Linked DNA regions of Caenorhabditis elegans. The protein of the gene in region 1 interacts with the protein of each later gene in a pairwise test. Each region holds a gene or a part of one and is shown on either strand. Other genes may lie near its edges.

Region 1 (7,685 bases):
CCTTTCAATGTCGGCTGCTTCTATAATATAATTTAAATAACATTAAATCTTTTGTTCCTTATTTCCTTATTTTCAGCCGACAAACGAATCTCAATGTTCTGGACACATGGTGGAATGGGAAGCTTAATGGAAAGTGCTCAAAAGTCTGTTCCGCTCGTCGTAGTCCCGATTTTCGGTGACCAAATGCGCAATGCACAGATCGCGAAGAGACACGGCGTGGCACTGATCTACGATAAAATGGACTTGAGCAACACGAAAAAGCTCATTGGAGCATTGAAAGAAGTGCTCGAGAATCCGGAATACAAAAAATCGGCGGAACTTCTCGCGCGGATCCTTGCCACTGAGAGGTTCTCCCCGCGGCAAAAGATCATTGATACGGTGGAGATGGCTGGAAGGTTCGGGCAAATGCCCAGGTGGACGTCTGCTGGAAAAGAATTCTCGTTTTTGAAATATTTCAATTTGGATCTAGTGATCATTGCAGTTTTTATATTTTTTCTGTCAATTGTCTCGACGGTACTGTTGATTAGACACCTGCTCGCGAAACTTGGTTTCTCTGGAGATAAGGAGAAATCTGAGTAGAATTCGCTGGGAGAGATGGGATGTTGTATAAATTTCGTGCATTTTTTTGGTTTGAAATTTGAAATAAAACTTTATGGAATTATGAAAACCTGGTTTTTGTAAAGCAGAAAATTCTGAAATAAAAGAAATGTTTGACTAAAAAATAATTCTTTTTTTTTCTGATTTAGTTCCGAGTTTTCTAAAATTCTATTGATAGAAATGTGAAATGTTTCTTTTTTGTCTTTTCTTCAAATTTTCAGACTAAATTTTAACGCAATTTCTGTATTTCGACAGTTAAATTTTGCAAAATTTCGGAATTTTGAAATTAATTTCCAAATTGTAAATTTTAGAGATTTTTTTTGGTATTTTAATTGTTCATTTTAATTAATTTTAATGTTTTTGAAATAAAATCAAAATTATAAAAATTATTTAAAATTTTATTTGCACTCTGTTATAAATTTTGAAAATACTCAAATTGTGAAAAATTGTTATGATGCAAATTTTCCAAATAAAAAAAACTGAGAATGAATTAAATTTCTTTAATTTTGAAAAAAAAAATGTTTTTTCTCCAAAATTTCAATTAACCATCAAAAAAAGTTCAAAAAAATTTATTCAACATGATTAAAGTATAAAATCGTAAAAATTGGAAAGAAAAATGTGGCTATTACGCAAGTGGTTCAAGAGACAAAAAAAAAGTACAAAATATCGATAAAACAACACAGGAAAGCTCGTAAAATGTGTAAATCGAGTGTAAAATACAAAAAAAAAGAAATTTATAAACCAAAAAAAATTGAAAAAAAATCCGTAGTGTTCTGTGGTTATCCATTCCGAGTCATGGAAGGATATGCTATACAGATAATTAATATTTTGAGGCGGGGGCGGGGGGGGGGGGGGGGTATTCTACATTATAAAAAAAAATTAGAACAAAATATAGTTTTTTTTTCAGAAAAAAAATCCAAAAAAAAAATTTTTTTAATTTTTAAATTTTTTAAAATGTTCTGATTGTAAGGGGATTTTCAACTGAATTTTTTAAGCTTTTCATCACATTTTTGAAGAAAAAAATCAAAAATAATTTTATTACGTTTACACTGTGCATATCTAGTCGTACTCGAGATCAGAATTTTCCAACTCATTTGGGTGGCGCCTGAAAAAAAATCAGTTATTAGTTTTTTTTTTTTTTAATTAAATAGATTAAAATTGGCTTATTGAAAAAATGTGTTTTTTTTGTAATTTTTAAATATTTTCAAACATTTAAACTTGAATTTAAAGTTTTTAAATACAATTCTCACCTCTGTGGAGTATCTATTCGGCTAATAGTGACGTTGATTCCAAGGTTTCCGTTTTCTGAAAAAAAAAGTTGATTTTTGTTGAGGGTAACTTTTAAAGTTTATATTCCGGAACTGACAAAAATTTTGCTACTAAAGGTCGATGCACCATATCTCGCCCAACTTTAAAAACTTTTCAAAAAAACCTCTGCGGATTTCGGTTTTTATTTTTATTTTTTAATAGACACTTTGTTAATATCTTCAAAAATTGACCGAGTTTATCAATCTTAGAAATTTTTGGTCGATGCACCATGTTCAAAGGAAACTTAATTTTTTTGGATTTCTGGTTCTATCGAAAAAGTTCCAACTCACAAAATATTTGTTCTCGTGTTTTATATAGTTTAGCGGTTACATTTTTGTTAGCATTCACACACTTAACCGGGGTATCGGCTGTTAAAACTATTTCGGTCGATGCACCATGATGCACTCAACTATTCCAGCTGTATCCCTTGTCTAACAAAGTTACCAAAAAAATTGTCAACTCACAAAAAAAGCTGTTTTTGCTCAGTTTTAACAAAAATTGAAAGCTCAGTTTTAACAAAAATTGGTAATTTCCGATTAAGATAAAAGCAAAAGTCAATGCTCACCTGCAAAAAGCTGTGCAGCATTTGAATCGAACGCTAGGCAATCCGACTGTTGAATGGCCACTACCACCCCCTCGTGGATGCTTCTCGGTGTGGCTTCCCATGACATTCTCCGGCGGCTCGCCGATAGCTCAAGCCGGTACACAAAGTTATCAGCTTCCTTCTTCGAGCCAATCAGCTGAACGACTGCGTAGAACATCTGAGTTGGCTGAGCTGGATCGTACTTTTCCTGCTTCTCGAGCACCAACATAAAATTATAGTCAAAGCAGCTCTGCATCATAACCCAGTCAACTGCTCCAGGAAGATTGATGTCAGTGGCCAGGAAGACGATATCCTCGCCTTGAAGCGTCGTGATGCTCTTGTGGATCTTCTTCAAATGCTCCATCACATCCGACAAGCCTCCCTGCCACTTGCAGCTAGCTCCAGGGCACGGGCAGCAGTAGGGTCGGAATTCGCAGAGCTCCTCGTGCTCGGTCTTATCAGCGTGATGGAAGTTCAGGGGGCAGCCGGACGTAGAGAATTTGCATGGAAAGCGGACGGTGTTGGCGATCTTCTCGAGGCCCAGGTTGCGGACAGAAGCTGTAAGATTGAAGGTTTAGTCTTGAAATTTGAGATATACTCTGAAACTTTGAAGATCCGTAGATCCTTGATTCGTTAGCTACATTAGAGAAACAACACAGCTAAAATGCTTAGGCGCTCGACTGAGACAGATCGATCAACCAGAAAGGATCTTAGTCTTCTATCATATCAGCTCTGCTCAAGCTGTGGTAATTTTTTCAGCTTTGACTAAACTCTTCTAGTCACGCAATTTTCAAATTTCAACTTCAAAACTCACGAGTTGGACCCCGACAAGTCGGGCAGCACTGAAGCTTTGGTCTGCAGTTCGAGCAGACAAGATGTCCGGATGAGCACTGCATGTATGGTGGCAGCATGTACTCCAGGCATACCGGGCACTCAAACACCGACAAGATCTCTGCACTGCTGTCGTCGGTGGCTCCACCGCCGCCGATTGGAATATGTGGTGCGACGCTTTGGATTCCTTGCGCGGTCGTCGTTGTGTTGTGCGGTACTGGAAAATTTTACATTTTAGCGTTACAGTTCTGAAAATCAAGAAAAACTCACTACTTCCCGGGGGATTACTCTGAACTCTGGCCATCGTTTTGCCAAGCACTGCGGTTCCAGAGATTGTTGACACTGCAGACGGTGGCGATGCCGACATCCGAGGTGTCAATCCGATTTGACATTGCTGTTGTGTGATGCCTGGCGGGACCGGTGGAGGGTTGCCTGGAAAGTAAAATTTAATGGTGCTAGTTCTGGGCTCCAAGATATAGTTTCACACTTACTTCGCTCATTGAGCCAATTTTCAATACACTCAATAATAAGCGCATTCACTACGCAGCAGCAAGAACGCATGTGGGGGAAAATGCGATCATCATGAAGCGAGCGAGCTCTCCGAGAGAGTTTTCAGCAGGTATATAAAAACTAGGGAGGGGCTCCGAAACACCGCTTTACGATGCATATGTCGATTATAACACAGAGATAGAATAGCGAGTTTTCTCTCGGGGGTGGGAGTAAAGAGGAAATGTTGAGTGACTTTAATTGGTGTCGTTTTGGATGTGGGGGGGGGGACTAATGACTGGTGAGCACGCATGGTTGGAGAAAGCAGGGGATTTGGGCTCCGGCTTAAAGGTTTGGCTGGCTGAAGGTAGTGGTGTGTCGGAAAAATCACGTGGTGTCAGAAAAAACCCCTGCCATCACGGTTTGATCTACAAAAAACGCGGACTTTTTTTGCGTAAAACTTTCTTAAGCCAAATAAAATGAGAACTATGCGTCTCAACTCGTGCATTTTTTGTAGATCTACGTAGATCAAACCGAAATAGGACATTCTGGCACCAAGTGAAATGCTGAAACAGTGATCTTTTAATCATGTCTCAATTAATAATACTCAATAGAAATTCAAAAGCCGACTCTCTTGATTCCGTTGGACAATTAAGTCCTTTCTTTAATTTTGGGCCGTTTCTAAGTTTCGGGGATGAGCAGGCTTTCAAACAAGACTCAAAGTTTTCAAAAAAGTCTCACCATTTGAGTGATTAACCATATCTTCGACTAAAGAATTGCTAGTCTGATGTCTGGATAGATGATTCGCTTGCGGAGCCGAATCGCTACTATTATTATCGTCCTCCTCAAAGATGAGCTGTGTACGACGAAGAGACTCGATCACGTCCTGATAGTCTCCTCCTCCTCCACCACCGTTCCGATTACTCATCAGCGAAGGCAGTCGAGATGACGAGGACGACGATGTTGGAGGTGGTGGGTGGTTCGGTGTCTGCGGATGCCGCCGTCTTCCCGTCGTCTCTGTAATTGGTGAGTTGGTGATAACGAATTGTGAGTGTTTTGTTGTTGTCACGTGAGAAATAGTCGCTGGAGGTCAAATTGTGAGGAATTACGAAGAGAGTAAAGTTTTTAGAATAGGTTTGTTGAATCAGGAGTGGCACGGGGTCTCACATGGTCCCATTACGATTTGATCTACAAAAAATGCGGGAATTTTTCGCCCAAAAAATGTGACGTCAGCACATTGTTAACCATTTGAAATCAGTTGGGAACTCTTCGTCTCAACTCCCGCATAGTTTGTAGATCTACGTAGATCAAACCGCAATGAGCCACTTTGACACCACGTGGCAATTTTTTTCCGGCAAATTGCCGATTTGCCGTTTGCCGGAAATTTTTAGAGGGATTTTTTAATAAGACGGAAGCACTTGAAACAGTGTCATTTTGAAAGTTTTTTTTTCCCGTTTTCTTTAGATACATTCATTGAACTTGCTTACTTTTCAAAATAGATGTAGGAACATTCATAGGATGCGTACAATTTTGCCAATTTAAATTAAATTTCTAAAATTTCCAGAAAAAAATGTGGAAAACCACAATTTGCAGAAAAATGTTTGTGAAAATTTTTTGCCGGTTTGCAGTTTTGTCGGAAATGTTCATTTTCGGTAAATTACCGGGAAAGTTGTGCAAAAAAAACAACTGAGGCTCAAATTTTTTAATTAAAGATTTACTAGGAAATTTTGAAAATTTTATATTAAAATTTGAAAATAATCGCCTAAAATCAATGCAATCAAGAACAAAAGATGAGAGATGGGCTAGGAAAATCAATAAGATAAGTAAGGGATAAGGTCCGATTTTCATGAACTTGAATACCTAGTATAGATACTAGATTCAGTAAAACGTGATTGCAAACTATTTGAATAAGTGACTTTCTAAAAATGGAAATTTGAAACATTCAAAAAAAAATGTAATACATTCACAAAAATCACTGAAAAGTTAAATTATGGTTATCTTAAACGAAATAGTGATGAAATCCATGAAGAAAGTGGTAATTTTTTCGGGAAGTATCAATTTTAAGGTTCTATTGTCCACACAGACACTTTATAAATCAAGTCGCAAGCAGAGAACAACAACAAAATCTGGCAAAAGAAAACAACTTTACTATTCGCTTTTTTTTAGCTTTCTCTAAATAATATTTTCAAAACCTAACAAAAGGATTAAAACCCTCAAATTCGACGATTACTTTGCATAAATACACAATAGAAATACGAATAAGAGAGTGAATAAAACGAAGAAAAGAGGCGAAAGGAAGAAAAATATGAAATAAAACGCGTTCTGTGTGCGTACTCTCTCTCTCTCTTTCTCTCTTTCACATCTTTTCACCAACGAATGACTGACCGGGATAGTGTGGGTGGTGGAAGAGACGACAGAGAGACCGACGACGAGATGTGTGGGCTTGTAAGAGAGTCTCTGTGTTTCTCTACCAGCTGACATGCGAATGAGAATGAATCAAATCGATTTTTGAAGAGAGAGAGAGAGAGAGAGAGAGAGACGGTTGGAGGGAAGGGATGGTGAGAGCGATTTTATATGAAAGGCGTATCAGGCACCAATAACCTTTTTAAAGTAAAATTTCAAAAATTGATGGTCATGCACTGTTGGTCATATGGAAAGATCAGCTGTTAGGGTGACTGGTACCCGGGTCAGGTGCTTGTGCTCTCGGTGGTCGATGAGAGGCAGCATAGGGAATGTAGCAATAATAATAAAAAAATAAAGTGACGTTTTATTGAAATTCATATAAGGAAATGTAAGGAAATTATCTGAAGGAAATAATCTCAATAAGGCACACGATTATTTGTTGCTACAACTAGCATTTCAGTAGCATTGGAGATAGCTTTGCAAGCTTTAGGTATATTGTGTTGGTATCAGGCTGTCCCATATCGGTTTGATCTACAAAAAAATGCGGAAATTTTTAGCCAAGAAATATGTGACGTCAGCAGGCTCTTCACCATGCAAAATCAGTTTGGAAGTCTTCGTCTAAATTCCTGCAATTCTCATAGATCAAACCGATATGGGACACTCTGGCACCGCGTGGGTATTATTCAAAGTTGAGGCAGCGTCTGTGGGTTTCTTGCCCTAACAAGGGAAGGCTCTGAACTCGTTATCGGACTTCATTACGCCACTATATACATTCGATAGAGAATAGTTACAGATGATCACTCCAAAAAAATTTATCTTCAGAGCAGGTTCGACCAAGTTACGACATTTTGAAAGTGCCAAAATACCCCTTTTTAAAAATTCCACGAAAGCCCAATAACGTTTTAGTGAAATTTGGTCAAATGATTGAAAAATTATAGGGGTTTCCTTTTGTACCTCTGCATCAGAGGTATCAAAAAATTTCTCCAATGTTTATAACGGCACGTTAAACATTGTACTAGTTGCCGATTTTAAGATTAGCAAAGCTTCTGATAAGTTATCACTGTTTGATTGTTTGTTATATATGTATTACTTATTATTCATATGTTATCCAAAAATTGAGAGATTTTTCAAAGTTATAGTTTCAAATTTGGAAAGCTAGGGGTAAAGTTTTAGTTTTTTTAAAAGCACATATTTTGGAGTGAATCTAAATTTCAAAGTCAATTGACGAATGGTTCGAGTTTAACTAATTCGTTGTTGGCGCCGCGGACCGGTTTCGCGGCAGTGATGACACTGGAAGCAAAAAACTAAACAAAAAGTTTGTGTACACACAGACACACGCAATTGTTGTCTACAACCCTTTTTTCCTCAATTCGGTCTTGGGTCTCAGTAGAGCGAAATTGCACGTGTCTCAAAAAAAGAGAGGGAAATTGTGCTCACCGAGCCACGACACACTTTTCCGTGGTTTTTTGTGGTCAGA
Region 2 (6,325 bases), on another chromosome or scaffold:
ATAGTTTTTTTTCTATTTTGTTACACACATTTGAAGTTGACCCCCATCTCCTCATCTCCCCCAAGCATGGCCTAGAAATTCCCGTCCAGGAGAATTCGGCCGCCGCCACGTGGCACAAAAACACTTTTTCAGTCTAATAAATCCCCCTCTTTTTAATTTTCATTCGAAAAATTCATAGTTCTCAACGGAATGATTGATGAAGCACGCGGGCTGATGAGCGGGTTTGGGAAGCTCCAAGATTTCTGGAAAAAAAATCAATAGTGGTGGCATAGAAAAAGTTAGGAAATGCGGCGAAAAAAGCGATTTTTTACTGGGGTTTTGCAAAAAAATTAGTGACCATCGATTTTTGCGAATTTCCGTTTAATATCGATTTTTCAGAAAAGTGCAAATATCTATTTTTCTGTTTTAGAAAAAAAATCAATAATTATTGATTTTTGTGCAGCGAAAGAAAAATTCGTCCAAGTTGCGAAGCGGCGAAAAAATCGATAATTTTCCCTGACCAATTTTTTTTAAATTGAACCACTTTTTTTGGATACTTGACAACTTTTTAGTGTTCGAAGATCAATTTTGAATCCTTTAACTAGAAAATTAATCATTTTAGATTTTTAATGGTTTTTGATGGGTTAAACCTAGATTTTCTGAATTCTGCATATATGAATTACCCGTTTTCAACAAAATTAGACAAGTTTTTATTTTTGCCCAATTTTTTTCAGCCATCTAATGACTGTCCTTTTTTTTGGGCAAGAAAAATAAATTTTCTAAAAACGTTTAAAACTATTATATTTTGAAAAAGGACAATTTTTTAGGGCTTGGAGACCAATTTTAAGTTCTCTAGCTACAAATTGAACCAATTTAGAGGAGTTTCAAAATTGTGAGTTTTTGCAAAAATTGCCAAATTTTGCCACTTTTTAATGGTTTTTGATGGGTTAAACCTAGATTTTCTGAATTCTGCATATATTAATTACCCGTTTTCAACAAAATTAGACACTTTTTATTTTTGCCCACTTTTTTTTCAGCCATCTAATGACTGTCCTTTTTTTTTTGGGCAAGAAAAATAATTTTTTGGAAATTATACAAACCTACTATATTCTGAAAAAGGGCAATTTTTTTGTCTTAGAAAATCAATTTTGAGTTCTCTAACTACAAAACTAACCATTTTATGGTAGTTTCAAATTTGTCAAATTCCGTACGGTTGAAAACCCCCCATAATGACTCATATTTTCCGGTTTTAATTGAAATAAATGTTGCTTTGTTTTCTTACAGCTCAAAAATTCCTATAAAAACCAAACGAAACCCCCAAAAACAATTAAATTTCAATGCTTCTCCCTATCAAAATTTTCCTAGTTGCTGGCTTCCTTGTCGATGGACAATCGACTCCTACAAAAAGCTATCGTAAGTTGAGGTTTGGATCTCGCGGCGAGTTTATTGATTTTTAATTGAAAAATCGATAATAAACAGCGCTTTTTCCCGATTACTGTAGTACTTCGCTGCGAGACCAACAACTTTTCAGCGGTACCGAACCCATTAAACGGTACATGTCAATATGATGGTCTGGCCATGGCGGATCCATACGATCCAATGATATTCTATCAATGTTGCAAATATATGTGGTTTTTTCAAACTTGCAACGACGGCATGGTTTTTGATAAAATTGCGAGTTTGTTTGATTGATAAAAATTTCAAACCCTTTCCGTTTCAGAAACTCGCCTGCGTTCCATCTTCTGGTTCTTCTCAAAAACTGGCAGTTAATCAGAAAGTTTTTTAATTGCTAATTAAAAATATACGTTAATTTAGCATGAAACATAGGACATAACAAGTAAAGAAAAAGGGAAAATTGAACAAAAGAAAAAAAACGGGAAAATACTTTTTAAAATAAGGCAGAAGAAATACAGAAATATATAAAACTTTGAGTGATCAAAATGGGCACTCGCTGAATCCTCGTAGTGATTTGAGGCAATAATCCGGCTGTTTCATGCAGATTGGTGAACTTCGGACTTCGGATTTCAGCTGAAAATAAGAAAATTTATCGAAAGCCTTTTTCTCTGGAAAATTGTGCTTACAACGTGCTCTTTCTGATACTGATCACGCATTTTCCGAACAGACGGTGGCCACGTCTTCGGGCAATAATTCAGAAAGCGTCCTTCGGTAATAATCATCACGACTCGCGGGGGTCCGGCGATAAGTGCTTCGAAATATGCAAACGTGCTGTTCTGATAGCACGGAACCACGAACGCCATCATGCTTCCCTTCGTCGCGTATTTTTCACCCGCCGACTCAATGATTCCGATTTGATTTGCACCGGCGAACACATTAACGTGACCCTCCAATCTTTGAGACTTCAGCCAGTAGCCGTTCGGTGTCTGGAAATAGATAAATAATTATAAATGCTGTTAAAATTTAATATTAAAATGATTAAGCACCTTCTTTGTAACGACTAAATCATCGAATCTGAGCACTCTCGCTGGCCATAAATTGCGCCCAATATTCGGATCCTTCTCTGATTCTTCGATGAGTGGCTGGAACGATGATATGGTCCATTGAATCGGGGAACCATCGGGAATCGAGCTGAAAATTTGGAACTATTATTCTTTTTACGCGTTTTTTTTAACTAACAAGTTAAATTCCGCCTTGACAGTAATATGGCACATTCGCAACGGCGCGAAAATCTGCATCTCGGTCAGCAGCAGCTTCCGTCGAATATTGGCTCGATCCGCGGCACTCAGATAGATCGGTCCGACCGCATCTGTCCAAACCATCGTCCTGTGCGTCTGATGATCGTCGTCCAACACAAAATCAATCCAATTCACTATCCCGAAAATCCGAAGCTCGACGCCTTTGTTGTAACGATATTTGGGACTGATTAGACCAGTTTGAGGAAGGGACGAGTGAATCGGAAGCACTTCGTACAGACCGTCTCCGATGATTTTGTACTTCACTAGCGGCGTTTTGTCGATCGAATCCGTCTGTTGAGGCGTGAGAATTATGCGTTGGATTCCGCCTCGATAGCTGTAGAGTAGGTGCTGAAATTTAAAAAATGAGATTGAAAATCAAAATTTTTTTCGTAATTCCTACTTGATAATTCGCCTTATCCGGCGTTTTCTCCTTATTAATCGCCAAAGCGATGTACCAATCGTGATCGCGGTACTCGACAAGCTCAGAGGCCTCGAACTTGTCATCCTCGCTTCCTATTCTTTCGATCACCGCCCAACACTCGTTCTCGACGTCTTTTTCGTCGTCCTCGAACACTTCTGAGCCATCTGCGGGGACATTCATGTAGAACCGTGGGCCCACGTCGAAGTGATCCGGAATTTTCCGGCTCGAACTGACGCGATGTTCCTTCGACTTGCTGGACACGGTTTTGATCTCCTGAACCGGTGGATGCTCTTTCTGGTTATTCTGGACCGGAACTTCTCTCAGAATTATCCGTGGGGGCTCGGGTGGCAACATCTCAAAATTGGTTATTAGATTTTACGGCGAAATTTTGAAAAATACCTGTTTTGATTGAGGTCCCCAGTGTGACGCTATAATAACTGTCATATTTCAGCGCTACAAGTAATAAAATATTCAAAAAAAAGTCGCAAAAAGACTTGAGAAAAAAATAACTCGAAATTCGAAAATTAAACTCCTAAAATTAAAGGCGCAGGCGTTTCCCAGTTTGGGTCTCGATGCGACATTGTCGTGTACTCCACGGGGACTTCGTTTACCATGAGTGTTTTTTGAAAAACGACAATGCATTGCTTTTTTGTGGAAAACACGAAAAACGTGAAATTTTAAACATAAAAATTTAATATTTTCCAGTCTTTGTACATATTCAGCATTTTCAACTGATGGCGCGCGGTTCCAAGTGAAGCCTGCGATTTTTTTTCGAATGTTTTTTCATATTTGGATGAGATGAACAAAAATCGCTTCGATAAAAATTAATTTATATTAATCTTGACAAGAAAAGGATGGGATAAATTAGAGAAAATAAGAAAACTGGATCAAATTTCAGTTTCTTTAGGGTCCGGCAACGCGTGCATCGATTCCACGTGCTTTTTCGAGATCATCGCTTGCCCTAGAAATCGGACTCCTTTCAATTGTGGATCTTTGTCCCATCGCTCGTCTGCCTGGAAATTAAAAGAAATTGCTGAAAGACAGAGAAGCACTGGGATTTTAATATTATACGATTTTTGGTAACAAACCCTAATTCCAACCATTTCAGCGTTGGAAACCTGAAAAAAACTTGATTTTTCATGATTTTCAGACAAAATCCTGCCTTTTCTGAAATATTTATTCGTGAGATAGAAAATTGTGTAGTGCCGCGCAGAAAACGGGGTGGGCGTTGTTTTGCAAACCTGCGGCGCGTCGGCTCTAGTGTACTACTCGTGGAGAACTTTTTGGTTACAATACACGATTTTTTGTTATTTTCGCTTATTTTTCCGTGTTTGACATTCGAATTGGTTAAAACTTGTCATTTGAATCCAGAAAAGAAAAACACGAAATTCATCGTTTTTAACCGCAAACCTTATAAATAATCGATCGTTCAAAAGTTAAATACTGAAAAAAAAACAACGAAAATGAAATAAAATCAAGCATTTTTTTCAAAAAAGTTTCGATTTTACTTGTTTCTTTCTCTTTCTTTTCGAATGAAAATGATATCCAATTTAATTCTAATAAGATTAAGACTCTTAATTTGAGAGGATATTCCATGTTTTTATATGCAATTTAGCATATGTGAATTATTTAGAATGAATACCATTTTTATACAAAAAAGAGAAAAAACAAGTACAATCGAAACTTTCTTGAAAAAAAAAGTTGTGGAAAAACCATGCGGCAGTGTTGCGATGTTCCGCTCCGCCCCACTCTCTGTGTAACTCAGATGTTTGCACAATTCACGGATCGATCATTTTTGCAGTAGCCTGGTAGCCGAGAAAATTGCGAAAACTAAGCCAGCAATAGAAAAAGGCGGAATGTTGTTTTGCCTGCGGCGCATAATTTTAAGGAAAAATATTTGAAACTATGAGCTTTTGGACCAAATTTTCATCAAATTTTTACCTTGTTGAAAACCATATTAGCGTCCTTGTCAGTGGCGATCATCGTGCCACGTATGTACCGCCCGTCGGTCATTCGAATTTCATAGCGTTTGCCAATGTATTCCAGCACTTTCAGATGGGCTTCCGACTTTTTCGCGTTCTCGTGTCCCTTCAACTGAATCAAATCGGTACTTTGATCGTCGCACATGCTAGCTGTCAATCGTCTTGTTCTTTTCATTTTAGAGGGGGGGGGGGGGGTCTGGAAAATCAAATAGACATGGATGACGCCACCAATAATGAAAATTTCAAAAACATTAAGAAAAAAGTATTTTTTCAGTCCGTAAAAATTTAGACATATGTATCACAACACAAAATATGTAACAAGTTTTGAAATGAGAAAATAATCACATTTTTGTCTAATTATGCAGAATAAAAGTGAAGTAGGTTCCCGCCACGGGGTTTTAGAGATTTTTTGGTAGATCAAAAATAAATTTGATGAAAATTCGGAAAGAAAACCGATAACTCCAAAATGCACACTGAAAAATCGACAAACTTTCAAGATTTTTTCCAATTTTTTAAAAATTTTCCCTTGAGTGTTTTTTGCACTTTTTTTTTCAAAAAAACATTTCCAAAATTTTATTTGAAAAAATAAAATCTTAAAATTTTAGCTTAAAATCGATAATATTTAGATTTTCTCCAAATTTTCCAAATTTTCGAAAAAATCGATAATCGATCGACTTTTCGAAATGAAAAAAACCGTGGCGGGACTAAAAAAGCATCAAAAAATACATAATTAACCGGGCATATATGAAGGAAGTAGGTGACAAATGAAAGAAAAATGGGGTAGAGCTGAGGGGCAAGCTTTTTTTTATAACTGGATGAAAAAATTCAAAAAATTCAAAAAAATTGAAAATTTTTCGACGTGACTACTGTAGCTCAATTTAAAGGGGCATATTTATAGAAAATTCCGATTTTGAGCGGAAATTAAAATAAAAGTATAACTTTTTCTTCAAAATCTTGTGACCCGAATAGTAGGGCTCTCTATATCATCTCGATGAGCTCTTATCTCGGGGCGTGATGGGGTCAGTGTTCCTAGGCCCTGCGGCCGGGGCGGGGGAATTGGGCGATTGTCGGCACGGACGGTGTTGCTCCGGTGAACGGGCGTCGGGTGAAATGGGGTGTAGGAGGGCGATGGGGACTGAAACATGGAAATTATTAGGGAAACGCATATTTTTAAAGAATTTTTTGAGCACATTTTAAATTTAATTCTTAAAGTTTTTGAAATTTTTTCTTCATTCAAATTTTGAAGGCAA
Region 3 (8,866 bases), on another chromosome or scaffold:
CCCTCGATCCGCCCCTAAACCTGCCCAGCGGAGTAGCATATGAGACTTATGCCGTTTGATGAACCATGTTTAGAAACGGTTATCCGTAAACTTTTAGCTGCAAGTCTCCATAATCAAGCTCACGACATGCTCTTAAAGACATCTAAAACAACACTGTAACGTAGCACTTAGGGATCAATATTCACTTCGGAAACTCATGTCTCCGCGGATTTTGATGGAAAAGTTATCAACTTTACACGTTTGGAGTTGAAAGTTTTTTATCAAAAAAATCTTTGTTTGAGATTAAAGCATGTGAAGTGCGGTAAATGTTATTGTTAAATATGTTAATGCTGTTGATGCAATTTTTATGCTTATATCTGGAAAATTTTGAAAATTGACCCATTACAAAGGAAGTAGATGAAATTAATCTCAGACTTTGACATGACATGGTATTTTTCCGATCAAATAGTATTATCCATACCAAAATCAGAGATTGAGTTCGTCTACTTCCCTTGTTAGTGTTTGCAGTTACATTGTTGTTTTCGCTTTCTTTGAGCGTACGCCGTGAACTTGGTTCTGAAGATTCGCCGCTAAAAATTTTCAAATCACCGTTTCTAAACATGGTCTATCGACTGACATAAGTCTCTTATGCTATTCCTCTGAGCACCTTCACATGTTCCCCTCGTCAGTGGTGTACAAACGCGCTCCACTGCTAATGCATTTGATTCTCAGCGCGCGCAACCAAATTTGTTTTTCGCGCGCTCTCCTCCTAATTTAGGCCTTTTTTCTTGGCAGTGTATCGATTTTGTTCGTTCGTTGAGCGTTGCGCGTTCATTGTCATTATAGAATCGTATATAAAGCGAATAGAATCAGTCTATTCGCTTGGAATTTTTAACATAGCCTTCCAAAATTTGCTGCACCATCGTTTCATTGATTTTATCCGTGTTTCTTGAGTCATTCGTGCGTGATGTAAGAAACTGGACTCTAAATGGACTAAGCATTTTTATACTGATTGTGACCGTCTAAATAGCTTTTTTTATTCGACTTGTTTCCAATTCGGAAAGAAACTCCATTTTCTGTTCGATTTTTTAATTTTCTCTCTTGTCTCTTACATCTCAACTTTATTTTAATGCCTCTACCTTCAGACTACATCCTCAATCATGCCGTCTATGGCCGAAATCTACGTCAAAGAGCTCAGAGAGAGGGATCCAGCTACTGTCGATACTCTATTCCTCGACAACGCTGAAGATGGACAAATCGGAGGACTCACCGACCAGCTTATCAACTTGGAGATGCTCAGCATGGTGAAGTGCGGACTCACCACACTCGCCGGGTTCCCAACTCTTCCAGCTCTTACCTATTTGGATATCAGTGACAATCAGCTTGGAGACAACGCTTCGTTTGATGTTCTTGTGAAAAATGCTCCAGATCTTAAGAAGATCACACTCGCCAGCAACAAGCTCTCTTTGGATAATCTCCGGTGCTTAAAGGTTCTTCCAAATCTTTTCGAGCTCGACTTGTCGAATAATCCAAGTCTCGGACTCCTCGAGGACTATCGTGAGAAGATGTTCGAGATGATTCCATCGCTGAAGATTCTTGATGGATGCGATGTTGATGGAGAGGAAGTTGAGGAGGAGTTTGCCGGTGAGGGAGGAGAAGACAGCGAGGAGGGAAGCGGCGATGAAGATGGACCCGGACTCAGCTATCTCGAGAAGAGCCAGTTCTCCGACGACGAGACTGACGATTATGCTCCAGAGGTTAGTTTTCGGACTCATATTTCAGAAACGTATGTTCTTAATTTCAATTTTTCAGGGAGGAGACGCTGAACCACGTGGGACAAAACGTGGAGCTTCTGATAACGGAGAAGAGCCAGACAACAAGAAGGCAGCTGGCGACGACGAGTAAACTTCGACGCCTACGGACTCATCATCTCAACCTAATATATTTATTTCAAATATTTTTTCCAAAAAAACTTCCCTCATTTTCTTTATGGCTGCGCTGTACACTAAACCCCAACTTTAATGATCTGAAAAACTGAACCCAAACCACCAGACACTGCAACAACTTTTTGATGAATAAAAAATCTTTAACATTAATCTATCGTTTTATTTTCTTTTGTGGCTTTTGTGTGCATTCTATACCATATTATATTACTGAAACACTGAATTCTGAGAATGCGTATTGCGCAACATATGTATATCTTGCAGCGAAAACTACAGTAATTCTTTAAATAACTACTGTAGCGCTGATCAGATTTTACGTTGTTTATTTTCTAATTTTTTGATGAAAACTATAAAAAAGGCATCGAATTGACAAAAAACACGAAAAATTAGAGGAAAATTAAACATCGCCTGCCACAATCCTAAAAACAATTTGTTTCGAAAGTATCAGCTACAGTAGTCATTTAAAGAATTATTGTAGTTTTCACTACGAGATATTTTACGCGTCATATATGTTGCGCAATACGCTATTAATACGGATTCTCAGAATTTATTGTTCCCGTAATAGTTCTGCCTGTGTGTAGCGCAAACTTCAAAAGTCAATAAACTCGAAATTTGAAAAATTGCCAAAAACGAGACTCCGAAATAACGGGCGCGCGTGTTGTTTAGCGCTTTCAGTCCACATTACTTTTCCCCCACATTTCTCCCAATTTGTTAGGTTTTGCTCATATTTTCCCACATTCGAAGTATTGAGAGTTTATTTTTCCATAAAAGAACCGATTTTCTTCCTAAATCCAGCTGTGCGGTCATTTTTCACGTAGGCATATTTTTTCTCACAATTTTAAGGATTTCTGCGTTCTTTATCAAATGAAAGGTCCCATTTCTTCCAATTTTTAGGTTTTCTGGTTCTCTGCGTTCCATCTTTGAATGAATCTTCGATTGTATTTTTATATGTAGGTTTTCTACTTTCATGTCTAGACATGTCTCCCAATAACGTTGATTTTCTTTTAGTTTTTAGGTTTTCTGCGTTTATTTTCATTAAGAATCAAATTTCCTCTTTCAGAAATGTCGAGAAAACGAAAAATGTCACAGTCGAAAAAGCCAAGCTTACCACGCCGTCCAATTATTCAAAATCTCACATTCATGGGAACTGAATTGGGATGCCCATTGTTAGTTCAGGACATGGATTCCAGTAAGACTAACAAAATTAAAAGAAATAAATAAATATATGTGTATTTCAGTGAACAAACGTGGTGAAGAGCCTCCGGAGAACGCTGACGTGAAGCGATTCATATCGTTCGCCACAATTCCAGCGTGTTGTCTGCATTCAAAAGGAACCGGCCAAGACGCTCAGTCAGTAAATTTACATATTATTATTGCAATTAAATCAATTCTTTTTAAATTTCAGGTCCGCAGACGAGTCGGCAGGTTACGCAATGCTCGACTTTTTCAAACTTTACATCTCTAATGGATTCAGAAGTAAACTTCTCAATTGTGCAAGTGATGAAGAAGTAAAAGAGTTGATTCCTCAAGTTCAACCACTTTTTGAACAATTCAAAGCTGCAATTGCAGCTGATTTTCTGTCGATCAGCAGAGTTTGAACGTCATTTCGAAATTTTGATTTAAAAAAGTTTTTCAGTGCACTCAATTCGAGTTGACTCCAGCAGCGAGGGCACGCGGAAAAGAGCTTAAAAAGCGTGTTCTGACAAATTTAAAAAACGCGGGAGTTGGATACACAACGGTTACTCCTAAGAAAACTTTAAAAAATGATGATGATGACGTGGAAGAAGACGTGCCGAATGAAACAGTGGACCCCAGTGATGCTCCAGGATCATCATCCAGTGATGATATTGTTATCGTTAGAGAAGTTGCGAGCGAAGCATCGCCCAAACTTCGCAAGATGCGAGAAATGGACGGAGCGAAGAAGAAGCTCATCGAAGAAGCTACAATGCGCCTGGGGTACTTTAATTCTGCGATTTTTGTCAAAAATTGTAATGCGAACCCGCGACGCAGATTAAATTGCTGAAAATTCATGTATTCCCGATTTTTTCGCTGGTTGTTCTGAAATTACGGGAAAATGCGTAATTCTAGTAAAAATAGACTCAAAATATTGAGTATAGTTACTAGGATTTTTGACATGTTAGCAAACCGATATATATCTAGCTAAACTTAACATTTAATTTTAAAATCCGTTGGAAATTAATTTTTTTAAAATAAAATAAAATACATGTAATGGGGTTATTCAAGTAATATAGCAAAATGTATGTAAATACATTTGTGACGTCACAAATGTATTTAAATACATGTTTTTATATACTTGAATACAGTCGTGACGTAATTTTTCTAATTTTCCGACACTACTTGAATAACCCCATAAGGTACAAAAATTGCTGCTAATCGTCTTTCAATGAAATGCTATTTTTTTAGTGAAAACCGCCGATCTCCATCTCTCGACTCTGACACCTACTTTGGAGAATGTCAACAGCTGCTTCACGGTCCAACAGAAGTCTACTGTGCCCGTCCCGAATCGAACCAGTTTGTCCAGCAGTACGAAGAAGCGAATTCAACTGAAGCATCTGAGGATGAAGACAAGGAAGCTGTACCGATGAAGCGTGCTCGAGTGGATATAGAAGAAGACGACGACGACGTCATTGTTCTGAATATGACCACCTCTTCTGGAGTTTCGGATAAAAAAGGTAAGTCAGAAGTCCAATCGCAGGCTTCTTAATGAAAAATTCAAGACGTTTCAGGTTCTGAGGACGAAATAGGTGATATAGTTGACGAGTGGGATGCAAATGACGAGGAGGAGAAGACTGACGAACTGGAAGAGCTTGAAGATGACGATATTCAGATAATTGAGGCAGGGGATCAAGGAAACGGTGTAGAAGAGGTCTCAAGCACAGTGATTTCGGTGGAGACTCCCAACAGTTCTTCAGATGAGAATAAGATCTACAATGGTACAGTTTGAGAGAAATGTATTCCTCACCTTACAGTTTTTGGTACTTGTGTATTACATGTCCTCGTTTTTAAAGTATTTTTAAATTATAAAAAATAAAAACGTGTACCATAGTTTTGTATCTGTAGGCTTAGGAAAGAACCATTTCTTAGCCTAAAGAGGAAAAGTGCATACAAAATTAAATTTAAATGGAGAAATTAATGAACATTTCATCTAATTTAAAAAGGATGACATGTAATACACAGGTACCCAGTTTTTGTTGAAATTCGAGGTGGTTACTGCAAGGAGCCAGAAAACACGTTAGATACAAAATCGGCCTGAGAGAAAATTATCAACTTTTCAGGCGTTTAAGGCGAAAAATCATACATTTTTAACACCAACACAAAAAAGATTGCTCCGAAATCAAAAATTGTAGGATCCTCCTCGAGGAGTACACGAATTGCGTATATCGACACTCGCCCAACTGTTCCATTTTCAAATATATAATACAAAATTATTTCCAGGCCACCAAACGCATCAAATTTTCCGAGAAGTTCGCCAGTTGCCAGTCAATTATCAGGCACGAACCATCGGTGTAGTGCTCAACGAGCGGATCGCTGGCTCCGTCGAGAAGTTTGTGAACTCGATCACCAAAAAGTCGTTCAATTCTGTCAAACAATTGTCTAAATTGGCATGGGATCACTACCTGGGAAATGCACAACCGGATTTTGTGTTTCTCAAGAAAATGGAGGCTCGTCAAAAGCTATTCTCGGAGATCAAGAAGCTGTTCCCTGACACAGAGATCAAGCTCCAGACAACTGGCTCAACAGTGAACGGATGTGGATCTTTCAACTCTGACATGGATCTTTGTCTATGCTTTCCGACAAATGGATATAAAGGACAAGTATGCGACGATTTTCACTGCGACAGAAATTATTCGACGAAAATTCTTCGCAAAATTGATAAGGCGTTTCGAAGATCGCATTGGAGCCATCCTCTGAAGAAGATAATCAAGACAATGCAGCTGGTGCCGGCGAAAGTTCCAATTGTGAAAATGATTTTGAATGGAGAATTTGATGGAATTGAGGTTGATATTAATGTTAATAATATCGCAGGAATATACAATTCACATCTCATTCATTACTATTCATTGTTAGTTTTTTTCTCAACAAAAAATCAGATATTTCAAAATTTCGGCTGAATTTAGATAAAATCTTCAATTTTGTAACCGAAAAAATTAAAATGTGTGCCAAGTTTGAAACGCAATTATGAAATTTGCAAGATTTGTTTCTATTTTCAGAACGGATGCCCGGCTCCCAGCTCTGGCCCTACTCGTGAAGCACTGGGCGATGGTTACTGGAATCAATAACGCACAGGACGGATTTCTGAATAGTTACACGACGATTCTTCTCGTTGTGCACTATCTTCAATGCGGTGTCACTCCAGCAGTCATTCCGAACTTGCAATACTTGTTCCCGCACAAGTTTGATCGAAAACTTCCGCTTAATGAGCTTCTTCTGTTTGGCGATATTGCGGACAAGTTGCCCAGTAATTTGAAGTGCTCTTTTTATTATCTGTCTTACTAAATTTAACCATTTTCAGCAAGTCCTCCCAACACGTGGTCGCTTGGAGAGTTGCTCATCGGATTCTTTCAGTACTATAATGAATTCGATTTCACTAATTTCGGATTTTCAATCCGCTCGGGTCAAGTCATTCCTCGGGAAAATCTCCCCCGTGATCTCATCAACAGTCCGATTGTCGTTGAGGAGCCGTTTGATGCGATCAACACAGCCAGGTGAATATTGGAAAAAATGACCGTGTGTCGAGGATAAGATTATTCAGTTTTTGGCTAAAAATTGATTTTGAATCAATTATTTTTTGTGTTCACGCTCAACTCAACATCTAAAATAGTATAGATGGTTGATTATAATTCATAATACCAAAAAAGAAAACATCAATTTCCTGTCTCACTTCAAACACGGTTTGACTGTTAATCACTGAAATATAAGCTAAAAACTAAATTTTCAGAACTGTACGCGATGTTAGCCACATGAAATCTATCAAATCCGCCTTCCGCTGTGCCGTCCAAATAATCTCTTCAAATAAAAATTTTACAATGCGTGATCTCGGTGTAAACGTCACAGAATTTGACTAAAAAGTTAATTTGTTCTTTTTTTTTATTCGCTTCTTTTTTCTTATAGTGTTCGTATAGTGTTAATCAATACATACTTTGTAATATTATTTAATTGGAAACGCACAAAAAAGTCGATAAATTAAAAAGAAACTCGAATTACTCTTTAATTCAGGTGTCTGAAGTCAGGAGAATCACAGATCGATATTTAAAAAGAGAAGTCATTTGAGCTTAGACGACGGCCTCGCGTTCAACAGAGAATGGAGTGTCGACGGCGATGTGTCCAGAAGCGGCGATGATGACGTCTTGCTTCGGGCGGTCCCCAGGAAGCTTCTCGGTCTGTTCGATCTTGCGGACCACATCCATTCCTTCGAGGATCTTTCCGAAAACGACGTGGCGTCCATCGAGCCATGGGGTCTTGACTGTGGTGATGAAGAATTGGGATCCATTGGTATCAGCTCCAGCGTTGGCCATCGACAACCATCCGGCTCCGTAGTGCTTCAGCTTGAAGTTCTCGTCGGCGAACTTCTCTCCGTAGATAGAGCGTCCTCCGGTTCCATCTCCACGGGTGAAATCTCCTCCTTGAATCATGAAGTCTGCGATGACTCGGTGGAACTTGCTTCCTGGATATCCTTCTCCCTGAAAATTAAAAAAAATATTTTGAAACTCGATTTCTTGAGCTGCAAACCTTTGGCTTCTTGGCGAGCTCAATGAAGTTGGTGGCGGTCTTTGGGACGGTTTTTCCGAAAAGTCCGATGACGATACGTCCGATTGGTTTTCCTCCAATTTCCATGTCAAAGTAGACCTTGTCAGTGACCTTTGGTCCTTTGGCATCGTCTCCCTGAGCAAGAGCTCCGACAGCGAGCACGGCCGCCACAACAAGAAGCGACTTCATACCTGCAAAAATTATGGTGTTATATTGCGAGCAAAAAAGTTTAAAAAAAAGCAATAGTAAGAAAATGTAAATAGTAAGAAAAGCAATAGTAAGAAAAAAGCGAAATATCGAATTGTTTGATAACAATAATTAAATACCACATTCGAAAAGACATGGTGATAAGAGTACATTAGACATTTTATGTTTAAAAATGAAAAAGTAAAGCCTTAAAAATGAAGAAATAAATACAAAACAGTTACCAGCAGGAACAATTGAGATGAGTTTTCTGAGAATGACCCGTGCTGAGAGGGAAGACGAAGAAAAAGAACACGTCAGCACACATAAACCACACGGTGCAACGTGGATAGAGCGATAGAGAGGGCAAACTGCAAGTGAGTGAGTGGAGGGTGACGAGAGAAAGAAGGGGAAACCGAGTAAAAGGTGACCAGTGACCATTTGGTAAATGTATAGGACAGGCGGTATGGTGGGGTGGTGGTAGTGTGGTACCAAATGCACACAAACAACAGCGCAGTAATATACTCGGGACGAGGGGGGGGAGGTGAAGACGAGACGAAGATCGATTGGCCTTGACCCGTTAATCGGAGAATGTGATGAGTGGCCGGACGCGAGGCGTCACTTCGGGGCTTTCAGTGTTTTTTGATCGTATGTTGTCTGGAAAAATCGATTGTTGTAGTGGAGAAGGATTATGATTTTAGATTTCACACGGCCCGAGAAGTGGTACCTGTACGCAATTTGTCTACCGTATACCTGGACGTTTGGGCGCGTGTATCTCAAAAACGGTTGGTCCAGTTTTTTTGTGATGCATATAAAAAATGTCCGAAATTAAATTCTAAATTTTTTGGACCAAAGCTTTTTTCGTTATCACGCGCCCAAACCTGGTCTACACTCAAATTATCAGTAGAGCGCATTTGCATGGATGTACCACTTGCCGGGCCGTGTTCAAAAAAAAAAAAAATTCTGAGAATGCGTATTAAACAACATATTTG
Region 4 (9,389 bases), on another chromosome or scaffold:
AAAAGAAAAATGAGAGATAAGGAGGGGGAGCTGTTATCAATAATTGACTGATTGGAAGAAATGGGTGCCCCCAACTGAAAAAGATGTGTTCAATGAGAGCAAAAACAACGGAAAATGATCAGGAAGAGAAAGAGAATGGGAGCGCACAAAAACAAGGAGCCGGACAAAATTCGAGCCAATTTTCGGAGGGTTACTGTAGTTTTCTAGGACGGGCACATAAATATTTTGCTAAACAATTTTTTTGCTAAACACGGACAACAAAATTTCGAGTTTCACGAAGATCTAGGCCAACTTTCAACAAAATTAATAAGATAGAAAACTCGGCCATTTTTTTCCACGGCCACGTATACCATTTATTCTCAAAAAATTTGAAACCCCTGTCAAAGAAAATGCGCTCTATTGAGAAGTCCACAAATTTATGTTTCGTGGCGAGAAGAGAAAACTAGGCCACCAAAAATGTTAATATATTTAGTAATTTGGGAACTAACGGGCTAAAGTAAATTTTAAAAAAATCAGTGAAGCTTGGCCACCGATATTTTATTCAGAAAAAAAATTAAAATTTTTATTTACAAAGTGCGGCCTATTGAGAAATTCTCTAAAAAATCTGGGAAAAAATATTCAAATTTCCAGCTTATCACACTCTAACTAGGATGAATTGCTGGCCGAGTTTTTGCGTTTTCTAGGCCACGTGGCAAAAATAGAACATTATTGCACTGCACAATATTTTACTATAACCAAAAAACAAGAGAAAAAATTGTTTTAACTTTTTTTGGGAGAAGTGTACAAAGTTTAGTTTTTGTCACTTGTTCTCCTTTTCTTCCGCCGCCCATAAACATCTAATGGGGTTATTCAAGTAGTGTCGGAAAATTAAAAAGTGTAGAAAAATTACGTCACAACTGTATTTAAATACATTTTGCTACATTACTTTAATAACCCCATAAGTTTTTGCAAGTTATAGAGACAAAAAGACTGGAGGAAAACATAAAAAATAATGATTAAAGGGACAACCGGCCAGGAAAGAAAAAACATATGAAGATGGGCAATAAAATGTGTGGTGATAAGCGTTGAATAGGCTCTCCAAATAAACTAAAAACTAGGCGTTAGGGTGCTTATTTATTAGTTTGGATTTTTAAGGGGGATGCTCTTTTTGCAAGTTTGCAGGTCTTTCAAAAAATCGCAAAAACCTCACTGTTTTTAATATATTTTGTAGTATTTTGTTGTTTCTACTAATTTTCATATCGAAATTTCTAATAATCCAACTGAATACATATTTTAATACATATTTTAAAATGTTTTTTTAGGAAAAAAATAGTTGAAAACAATGGGTAAAATTTTCAAAAAGTACGAAAAATTCTTTGAAAACGGGCTAAAATTTTGCCGTCCAATTCCTAACGAGACCCAGCGTTTAGGGGTGGTGCAACCTTATTACGGGAGCATAATATTCTGAGAATGCGTATTGGGCAACATATTTGACGAGCAAAATAAATTATAACTATATCTCGTAGCGAAAACTACAGTAATTCTTTAAATGACTACTGTAGTGTCGATTTACGGGGTCAATTTTTGAAATTAATTGCATAAATCATTTGTTCATCTATAGAATATTAAAGTTAAGCAAAAAAAAAGAAAAAAGTTATACGACGAAACGAAGAAATTCATTTTAAAAATCAAGCCCGTAAATCGAGCTACAGTAGTCATCTAAAGAATTACTGTAGTTTTCGCTACGAGATATTTTGCGCGTCAAATATGTTGTGCAATACGCATTATTAGAATTTTGTGTTCTAATGTAATATATTCAGATCGAAAGAGACAAATTTATTTCAAATTCTGCAAGTACTCTTTTAAAAATTCGAAAATCATCACTGTAAAAATGTGTGGAGCGAAGTTTTTTATTTTTTGATGGGAATTACACACACACAAACCGCCACCGGCAAACATAAGTCAATCGGATTAAACAGATTTAAATTGTAAATGGTAGAATTTCAAACGAAAAAATTGCCGGAAACCTAAAAAAAAAATTCCAGAACATGGGGGGAAACTTTGGTCTCATAATCAGCAAGAAAAGTGATAAGGGATCACTTTCTTTAATGGGACGCCGCCGCCGGCCAGTGGAAAAGGTTAAAAATGCAATGTGACAAAAAAATGATGCTGATTTTTCATTTTTATGGTATGTTTATTACAGACTTTGTAACTCTGAAAAAGGGCGTTACATATAGATATTTTGATTTCTTTCTTTGCTGGAAAATAAAATTAAAAGTAAGGTCTCGGCGCGCGAATTGTATTTTTTTCTTTTGCCTTTCAATGTGGAATAGTTTTTGCTTCAAAAAATTCAAAAAAAAACGTCTGAAATTCAAAAAGAATCATTAAAAAAACGATAAAATCGATAAAATCCTTCCAAAAAAGAACTACCAATCAGCGATTCGTTACGCCCAAATCTCAACCAATCAGACGGAATGGGCGGAGTTAAAGAATGCTGATTGGGTGGAAAGTAGGCGGAGTGAATCGCTGATTGGTCTTGCAGTTCTCATTTTATCTGGAGGGAATTCTCAAATGAGAACTGCGACCAATCAGCGACTTCGAACTCCGTACACTCCATCGTTGATTGGTCGCATTTCTCCGTGTTTTTTAATTGAATTTTTCTTGTTTTTTTGTGGATTTTTTAAGCCAAAATGGATAAAAAATAAAAAGAAAAAAGAAAAACCCAAAAAAAAAGTATTTTTTTTAATTGATAAAAATATATAAAAGCTGATTTTTTCAAAAATTCAAAAGTCCTGGAAAATCATATGGAGTCATTCTTTTTTATTTCCCACTCCATCGTTGATTGGTCGCATTTCTCCGTGTTTTTTAATTGAATTTTTCTTGTTTTTTGTTGTGGATTTTTTAAGCCAAAATGGATAAAAAATAAAAAGAAAAAAGAAAAAACCCGTGGCATCATAAATTTCGCATTGTCACGTGGCATTGTTTATTTTCCGTTCGGACAAAAAATAATGAAAAAAATATTATTTCCAATTCGATCCCGATGAAAAGTTGCAGAAGTTGTAAGGAAAATCCTGAAGTGCAGAGAAAACGAGCCGAGAAGCCGTGGCGACGGGCTCCGAAGGCCAAATCAGAAGTCGAAAAGCATGGAATCGGTCCACCGGACAGTGATTCAGGGGAGGAAATATCATTTCCTTGGTATAATGTGACCGGTAAGTGAGTCATCTCGACTTTTTCGGAAATAAGCTGAGAGGCTTATATTTCTTTTTGTCGCATTTCATGAACTTTCAGCCAGTTTCAGTTATTACTCAGATGTCAAACTTTTTCGTTTTTTTGAACTCGAAAATACGATCCCGACGCGACAATTTTTGTAATATGCAAAAAGGCGTGCGCCTTTGAAGAGTACTGTAACTTCCTAACTTCCACCACGATTTTCATCGATTATTCATGGATTGTCTCCCGTTTCCGCAATTTTTAAATGTGTTTTATTTTGTTTAAAAAAAATAGCGTCTTGTGCAACATATTTGACGCACAAAATATCTCTTAAGTTAGCGAAAACTACAGTAATTCTAATTCTTTTTTTTCCATTTTCATTCGTTTCTTCGCATAATTTTCTCATTTTTATTTTTATTTTAATATTTTAGCGATAGTAAAGTAAAATTTTAATCCATCCGAGCCCGTAAATCGACTACAGTAGTCATTTATAAAGTTACTGTAGCTTTCGTTACAAGATATTTTGCGCGTCAAATATGTTGTGTGAGACGCATTATCATAATTCTGTGTTGTAGTAATAGTTTTAGTAATAGTTTTTCGTCAAAAAATGTTCTTGAAAAGTAAATGAAAACTGAAAATTCCGCTTTGCAGTTAGAGTTACTATTTAAAGGCGCATACACAATTTTGCATTCAACCAAAATTTTTCGTGTCGAGACCTGGTATCGTACGTTTCCCAAGTGTTTATGTGCAAAGGTTACCCATCATAATCCTTTTTTGCTCCGTCTTTTTGCACCACACCCAAAAAAAGCAAGAAAGAGCTCATAACCATAGAGCAATGTCTCTCTGTCTGTCTTTCTTTGTGAGCTTTTCATGTGTATGTGTCCTATTTAGAAGCACTGCATTTTCTTTCCCTCCTCCACGTCTTCCGGCTCTCTCGGTCCCCCCCCCCCCCCCCCCAACTATTCCCGATTGCGAAACACGAGCTCTTCGGGAACCGAGCCCCCACTTCCAATTCTTCGTGTCCCTCATTTTATTGCCGCATTCCGGCGAGTCTTCTTTAGTTTCAGTCGTTTGAACATTTGTTCTCGAGAAATTCGATAATTTTTATTAGGGAAAAGTAGGTTTCAAATCGAAAACTCGGCTTAAATCGTTGAATTTGAAGGAAAAATTTAATAAATAGTGTCTAAAATTATAGAAAATTATGCAAAGCTTTGACAAAGCTTTGCAAAGGCGAGAAATCAAAAATTGAATTTTTCTAGACTTGTCTAATTGCCTCTGATATGTTTTGACCTACAATTGACCTACGATCTCAGGCGGGCGCGCACGAATTCATATTTTTGTTTCGCGAAGTTTCTCTCATTTTGTTTTTCCTTCGCTATCATTTTAGGTGGTTTTCGGGTTGACTCAGCCGGTTTTTGGCCAGTTTTTTTTGTTTTAAGTTAATTTTTCTTATTTTGTCACAATTTCTTTTTGATTAATGGCAAATAATTATTATAATCTGAACATTTTGCTTTGAAACTCGAAAAAATCTAGAAAAAGAATAATTGTATCGTAGTCGTTTTCTGATTTTTACATGGAATTCAAGTCAATATTCATGTTTTTTAATGAAAAAACATGAATTTTCTCCAAGAAACGATTATTCATTTAAAGGAACATACGTGCCTGCTGAGCTCGTGTCTCGTAGCGAAATTTGTATCGTAGTCGTTTCCGCATTTTTTAGTTTTTAGACCTTTTCAAGAAATTTTCTCTGTTTTTCGCTTCAGAAAAGATCCATTTTCGCGAACATTTCTACCATTTTTTTTACAAAATTATCCTGTTACATCGATTTTGATCGATATCATCAAAATACACTAGTTTTCTCCTCCAAAACCGTCTGTTTTACATTTCTGGAGCCCACGTTTCTGACCGTTTCGCTCCGTAATCCGTTGGAAGAAGCACTCCTTTGTGTGTCCAGACCCACCCGTCCATGCTGTGTCCATCGAGCGGTCGCCTGTCTGCGTTTCTTCACTCCCCTCGCCTATTTCATCCGTTTTCCTCCCTCTACTCCCCCTTCGAACGCAATTTTCGCGCCAATTTCCCAGCAGCAGCAGCGGCAGTACTCGCCATTTCATAACATCTCCCCCGCCACTGACTAATGTTTTCCGATAGTTTATCATTTTCTTTCATGGGATATGAACAATTGTTTCCTTTATTCTTACGCTCTAATTAACTCGAATCCAATTAATTTGTTATTATTTTCAGGTAAAATGCTTGTCGTCGGGATGCATGTGGAAATCAAGCGGAGCGACGGCCGCATCCACGGTGCCGTAATCGCCGAAGTTAAGTCGAACGGCCGGTTTATGGTGGAATGGTATGAGAAGGTGAGTCGCATCCTTCGAGAAGACCATCACTCGTCACAGAATCATGCATTTCGGATGTGATGCCGAACCAAAAATCATGCATTTGGCATTGTGTACTTTCTTTCTTCTCTTTTTTCTCTTGCAATCTTTCACATTTTCAGGGCGAGACAAAAGGAAAGGAATCCTCGTTGGAAGAACTTCTCACGCTGAACCCATCACTCCAAGCACCGAAGCCTACGCCGCCGCCACAGCCTCCTCAAAAAACGCTTCAAGCGTCAACTGCTGTCAACAGACAAAACGGGATCCATGCGCAGAGCATGATACTCGATGACGAGGATACATTCCTCTTGGATCATATCAACATGATTCCGGCTAAAGGTTTGTTGGAGAGTTCTGGTTTAATATGAAACAAAAATTGATTTTCAGGTGCTTCTGCCAACAAACGACCAACGGGAGCTTTCACGCAGCACGTTCCTGTTCGTATGGCTCCTCCATCCGAAAAGCCTCTCCCGACTCGTCGTGCTCCGTCACCGAAGGAGGATGCTGCTCCTGCACCGAAGTCTACTCGTACGACAGCAGCCTTCAAGCCAGATCTTGATAGTACGGCGATCACGGTTCCGAAGCACACTGCAAGGCGCACAGTTGTGGTAGCTCCAGCTCCGGCCCCTGTTCCTGCTCCACCAATCGCCAACATGACATCACAGCGAGCCCCGTCTCCAGTGGCAAGAGTTCCGTCGCCGAAGAACGTACCGCGGTCGTATCCACAACAGGATGTTCAGCCGTCGAATGGGAACTTTGCTTTCGCGGAGATGATTCGCAACTACAGAGCCCAGATCGACTATCGTCCGTTGAGCATGTTCGACGGTGTCAACGAGAATCGGATTTCCGTTTGCGTTCGGAAGCGCCCACTGAACAAGAAGGAGCTGACGAAAGCGGAGGTCGATGTGATCACGATCCCTTCTCGTGACATCACAATTCTCCATCAACCACAAACACGTGTCGACTTGACAAAGTATCTGGACAATCAGAAGTTCCGATTCGATTACTCTTTCGACGAGTACGCCAACAACGAGCTGGTCTATCGGTTGGTTTTTTTAATTTTTCAGTTTTCGTTTTTAAAAATGATATTTTCAGCTTCACTGCAGCACCACTCGTGAAAACCGTCTTCGACAATGGAACTGCGACGTGCTTTGCCTACGGTCAAACAGGATCCGGAAAGACGCACACAATGGGTGGAGATTTCTCCGGAAAGAAGCAGAATGCGTCGATGGGAATCTACGCGTTGACGGCACGAGATGTGTTCCGGATGCTCGAGCAGCCACAGTACCGTCGCAAGGATCTCTCGGTGCACTGTGCGTTCTTCGAGATTTACGGAACGAAGACGTACGACTTGCTCAACGATAAGGCCGAGCTTCGTGTGCTTGAGGATAAGATGCAGAAGGTGCAGGTTGTTGGGCTCAAAGAGGAGCAAGCGCACAATGAGCAGGATGTCTTGGAGCTCATCAACAAAGGAACTCTGGTCAGAACCGCTGGAACCACTTCGGCAAACGCGAACTCGTCGCGTTCTCACGCCATATTCCAGATCATTCTTAGACAGTTAGTTTTTGTTTTTACGTGAAGATTGCTTTAAAATTAATTATTTTCAGAGGCAAAAAGGTGTGGGGCAAGTTCTCGTTGATCGACTTGGCTGGAAACGAGCGAGGACAAGACACGAGAGAATGCGATCGTGACACGCGGAAAGAGGGCGCCAACATCAACACATCGCTGCTCGCACTGAAGGAGTGCATCCGTGGAATGGCTCGCAACAGCTCACATGTCCCGTTCAGACAGTCGAAGCTCACGATGGTTCTCCGAGACAGCTTCATCGGTGAGAAGTCCAGGACAGTGATGATCTCGATGATTTCGCCAGGGATCTCGTCGAGTGATCACACGCTCAACACACTTCGCTACGCGGATCGGTAGGAATTTTATTTATTTTTTGCTAAAAAAAATTCACATTTTTCAGTGTCAAAGAAATGGGAACCGACGGAAGCGGCGAAGCAACCCCAATTCGAGACGAGGAATTGTTCCTGCCCCCATCGGCAGACAAATCGGATGAAGAGTACGATGAGATGGTCGAGAAGCAAGAACATCGTCGAGTAGCGGTCGATCACGTCCGGAACCTGAAAGATATGTCTGAAAAGATCATACGCGAAACGACGATTGTCCTCTCCAACGAGCCGAGTGCTGCCCAGAAAGCCGAATGCCTCGCCAAGCTTGATCAACTTGCGCAGATAGTCTCGAACACCCGTGTCGCCGTGGAAAACGTCTGATTGCTGATTCCCGCGACGATATGCTACCCACTTCATGTACCATGATTATTACTCCCCGCCCCCCTCATTATTCACCATTTTCTATTTATTTTTATCGCATTCCTCCAATATTTTACCGTATTTATTTCATTTAGGGTATGTGAAAATTATTTGACCCTCCCCTTCCATCTTTTTCCCCTCTCGTTGTGAATATTTTACGGGTCCCCATTTTTTCTCGGTTCCGTTTTAAATGAACCATTTTATTCGTTTAATCAGTGTTCAATTTGAAGGTGGCTGTTCCGGAATTCATGCACAATTAAGTCGTTCTCTTGAGGCCCCACGAAAAGGGGAGCAGAACGAAAAGGGGATCTGCAAAAAGGAGATCTGCGAAAAGGGGAGATACGAAAAGGGGAGATACGAAAAAGGGGAGATACGAAAAGGAGATCTGGCACTGTGCCAAACGCTATTTTTCTCGAAGAAAACAATACAACGATGCTCCGATGTTACGCGTCGCGTGTTGTTAAGCGTATCTTCTAGAAGAAAATTTCAAAAATCAACGTGCGTTGCGTGAGAAAAATTGCGTTTTGTGCGTTTGGCACAGTGCCAGCTCCCCTTTTCGTATCTCCCCTTTTCATATCTCCCCTTTTCGCAGATCCCCTTTTTGCAGATCCCCTTTTTGCAGATCCCCTTTTCGTTCTGCTCCCCGTTTCGTGGGGCCTCGTTCTCTTCAAAAAATCGTTGTGATACCCAGCATGCTCCTTTAAACTTGCGTGGGATCCTGGTTTGTTCTGAGTTGATGTTAGGCTGTAATTGCTCGTTCTATAATAACGAGACGTGGTAGTCGGTCTCGACACGACACATTTTAATTAAATGCAAACGTGTGCGCGCCTTTAAAGATTACTGTAATTCAAAATGTTCGTTACTGTAGAATTGTCATCGATTTTTCATGTGTTTTTCACAATTTGTTAAAAATTCTGTGTTTTTAATAGTTTTATTTAACTTTTTTCAATAAATAAATATATTTTTGTCGAAAAACGATGAAAAATCAATGAAAATCCCGCACCAACAAAATTTTGGAACTACAGTACTCTACTCTTTAAAGGCGCACACCGTATCGCATTTAACAAAAACATTCTAATTGTATTTTATATTTTTCATAAAAAGAAAAGCTATAATAGTTTTGAAACTTTTTTATTTCCATCGATGGCGCACACGACACTGGAGGACAAACCAAAAATTACAATTAATATCGATTTTTAATGAGAAATGGGAGAGACAACGTACACGAATTTAGCAGAAGTTTTCTTTTTTTTTAATAGAAGAAACCTAAAGGAAATGTAATAATATTTCTAACAAATTTGTCTGATCACCGTCAACAAGAGGATATAGAAGAAAAAACAAAGAATGATGAGTTGAGCAAAGAAAAAAGATCCTAAAGATCTCTAAAAGAGATCCTTTCGATTTCGGGTCTCGAAACGAAAACGATCGCACTACAAAAGAAAAAAAATTGGAAAACTTAGAAAATATGAAAGAGTCTGAAAAATGAGATGGGCGGCGGCTGGGCTCACTC

The links.
Region 2: the proteins of siah-1 (region 1) and pid-2 interact in a two-hybrid assay, tested with the Caenorhabditis elegans proteins (one large-scale study listed by BioGRID).
Region 3: the proteins of siah-1 (region 1) and gldr-2 interact in a two-hybrid assay, tested with the Caenorhabditis elegans proteins (one large-scale study listed by BioGRID).
Region 4: the proteins of siah-1 (region 1) and klp-7 interact in a two-hybrid assay, tested with the Caenorhabditis elegans proteins (one large-scale study listed by BioGRID).

Annotation. Positions count from the first base shown.
Region 1 is NC_003282.8:3,741,185-3,748,869, reverse strand, and holds siah-1 (E3 ubiquitin-protein ligase siah-1), read right to left. Parts: upstream 4,823-7,685; 5' UTR 4,734-4,822; coding exon 4,547-4,733; intron 3,752-4,546; coding exon 3,590-3,751; intron 3,537-3,589; coding exon 3,303-3,536; intron 3,047-3,302; coding exon 2,471-3,046; intron 1,903-2,470; coding exon 1,848-1,902; intron 1,703-1,847; coding exon 1,657-1,702; 3' UTR 1,519-1,656; downstream 1-1,518. Other genes in the region: ugt-45 (glucuronosyltransferase), read left to right, coding at 77-579.
Region 2 is NC_003279.8:90,304-96,628, reverse strand, and holds pid-2 (Protein pid-2), read right to left. Parts: upstream 3,608-6,325; 5' UTR 3,538-3,607; coding exon 3,493-3,537; intron 3,448-3,492; coding exon 3,073-3,447; intron 3,021-3,072; coding exon 2,614-3,020; intron 2,566-2,613; coding exon 2,421-2,565; intron 2,361-2,420; coding exon 2,061-2,360; intron 2,008-2,060; coding exon 1,915-2,007; 3' UTR 1,766-1,914; downstream 1-1,765. Other genes in the region: Y48G1C.13 (Chitin-binding type-2 domain-containing protein), read left to right, coding at 1,317-1,392, 1,511-1,653, 1,700-1,765; natc-3 (Sm domain-containing protein), read right to left, coding at 3,981-4,106, 5,035-5,220; mtm-10 (Myotubularin phosphatase domain-containing protein), read right to left, coding at 6,022-6,210. UniProt on the Caenorhabditis elegans protein: Involved in gene silencing mediated by a class of 21 nucleotide PIWI-interacting RNAs (piRNAs) that possess a uracil residue at the 5'-end (also called 21U-RNAs) and that guide the Piwi protein prg-1 to its DNA targets for silencing.
Region 3 is NC_003279.8:15,033,393-15,042,258, forward strand, and holds gldr-2 (PAP-associated domain-containing protein), read left to right. Parts: upstream 1-2,616; 5' UTR 2,617-2,872; intron 2,873-2,976; exon of another isoform or gene 2,977-2,982; 5' UTR 2,983-2,984; coding exon 2,985-3,111; intron 3,112-3,160; coding exon 3,161-3,272; intron 3,273-3,327; coding exon 3,328-3,514; intron 3,515-3,558; coding exon 3,559-3,878; intron 3,879-4,346; coding exon 4,347-4,615; intron 4,616-4,660; coding exon 4,661-4,876; intron 4,877-5,378; coding exon 5,379-6,006; intron 6,007-6,154; coding exon 6,155-6,402; intron 6,403-6,456; coding exon 6,457-6,649; intron 6,650-6,882; coding exon 6,883-7,009; 3' UTR 7,010-7,095; downstream 7,096-8,866. Other genes in the region: F33H2.3 (Acidic leucine-rich nuclear phosphoprotein 32-related protein 1), read left to right, coding at 1,140-1,736, 1,792-1,884; cyn-5 (Peptidyl-prolyl cis-trans isomerase 5), read right to left, coding at 7,217-7,624, 7,674-7,880; bltp-2 (FMP27/BLTP2/Hobbit GFWDK motif-containing RBG unit domain-containing protein), read right to left, coding at 8,493-8,531.
Region 4 is NC_003281.10:10,802,911-10,812,299, forward strand, and holds klp-7 (Kinesin-like protein), read left to right. Parts: upstream 1-3,014; 5' UTR 3,015-3,019; coding exon 3,020-3,188; intron 3,189-4,571; exon of another isoform or gene 4,572-4,592; intron 4,593-5,127; exon of another isoform or gene 5,128-5,272; intron 5,273-5,430; coding exon 5,431-5,549; intron 5,550-5,689; coding exon 5,690-5,906; intron 5,907-5,954; coding exon 5,955-6,612; intron 6,613-6,662; coding exon 6,663-7,124; intron 7,125-7,174; coding exon 7,175-7,486; intron 7,487-7,533; coding exon 7,534-7,840; 3' UTR 7,841-8,089; downstream 8,090-9,389.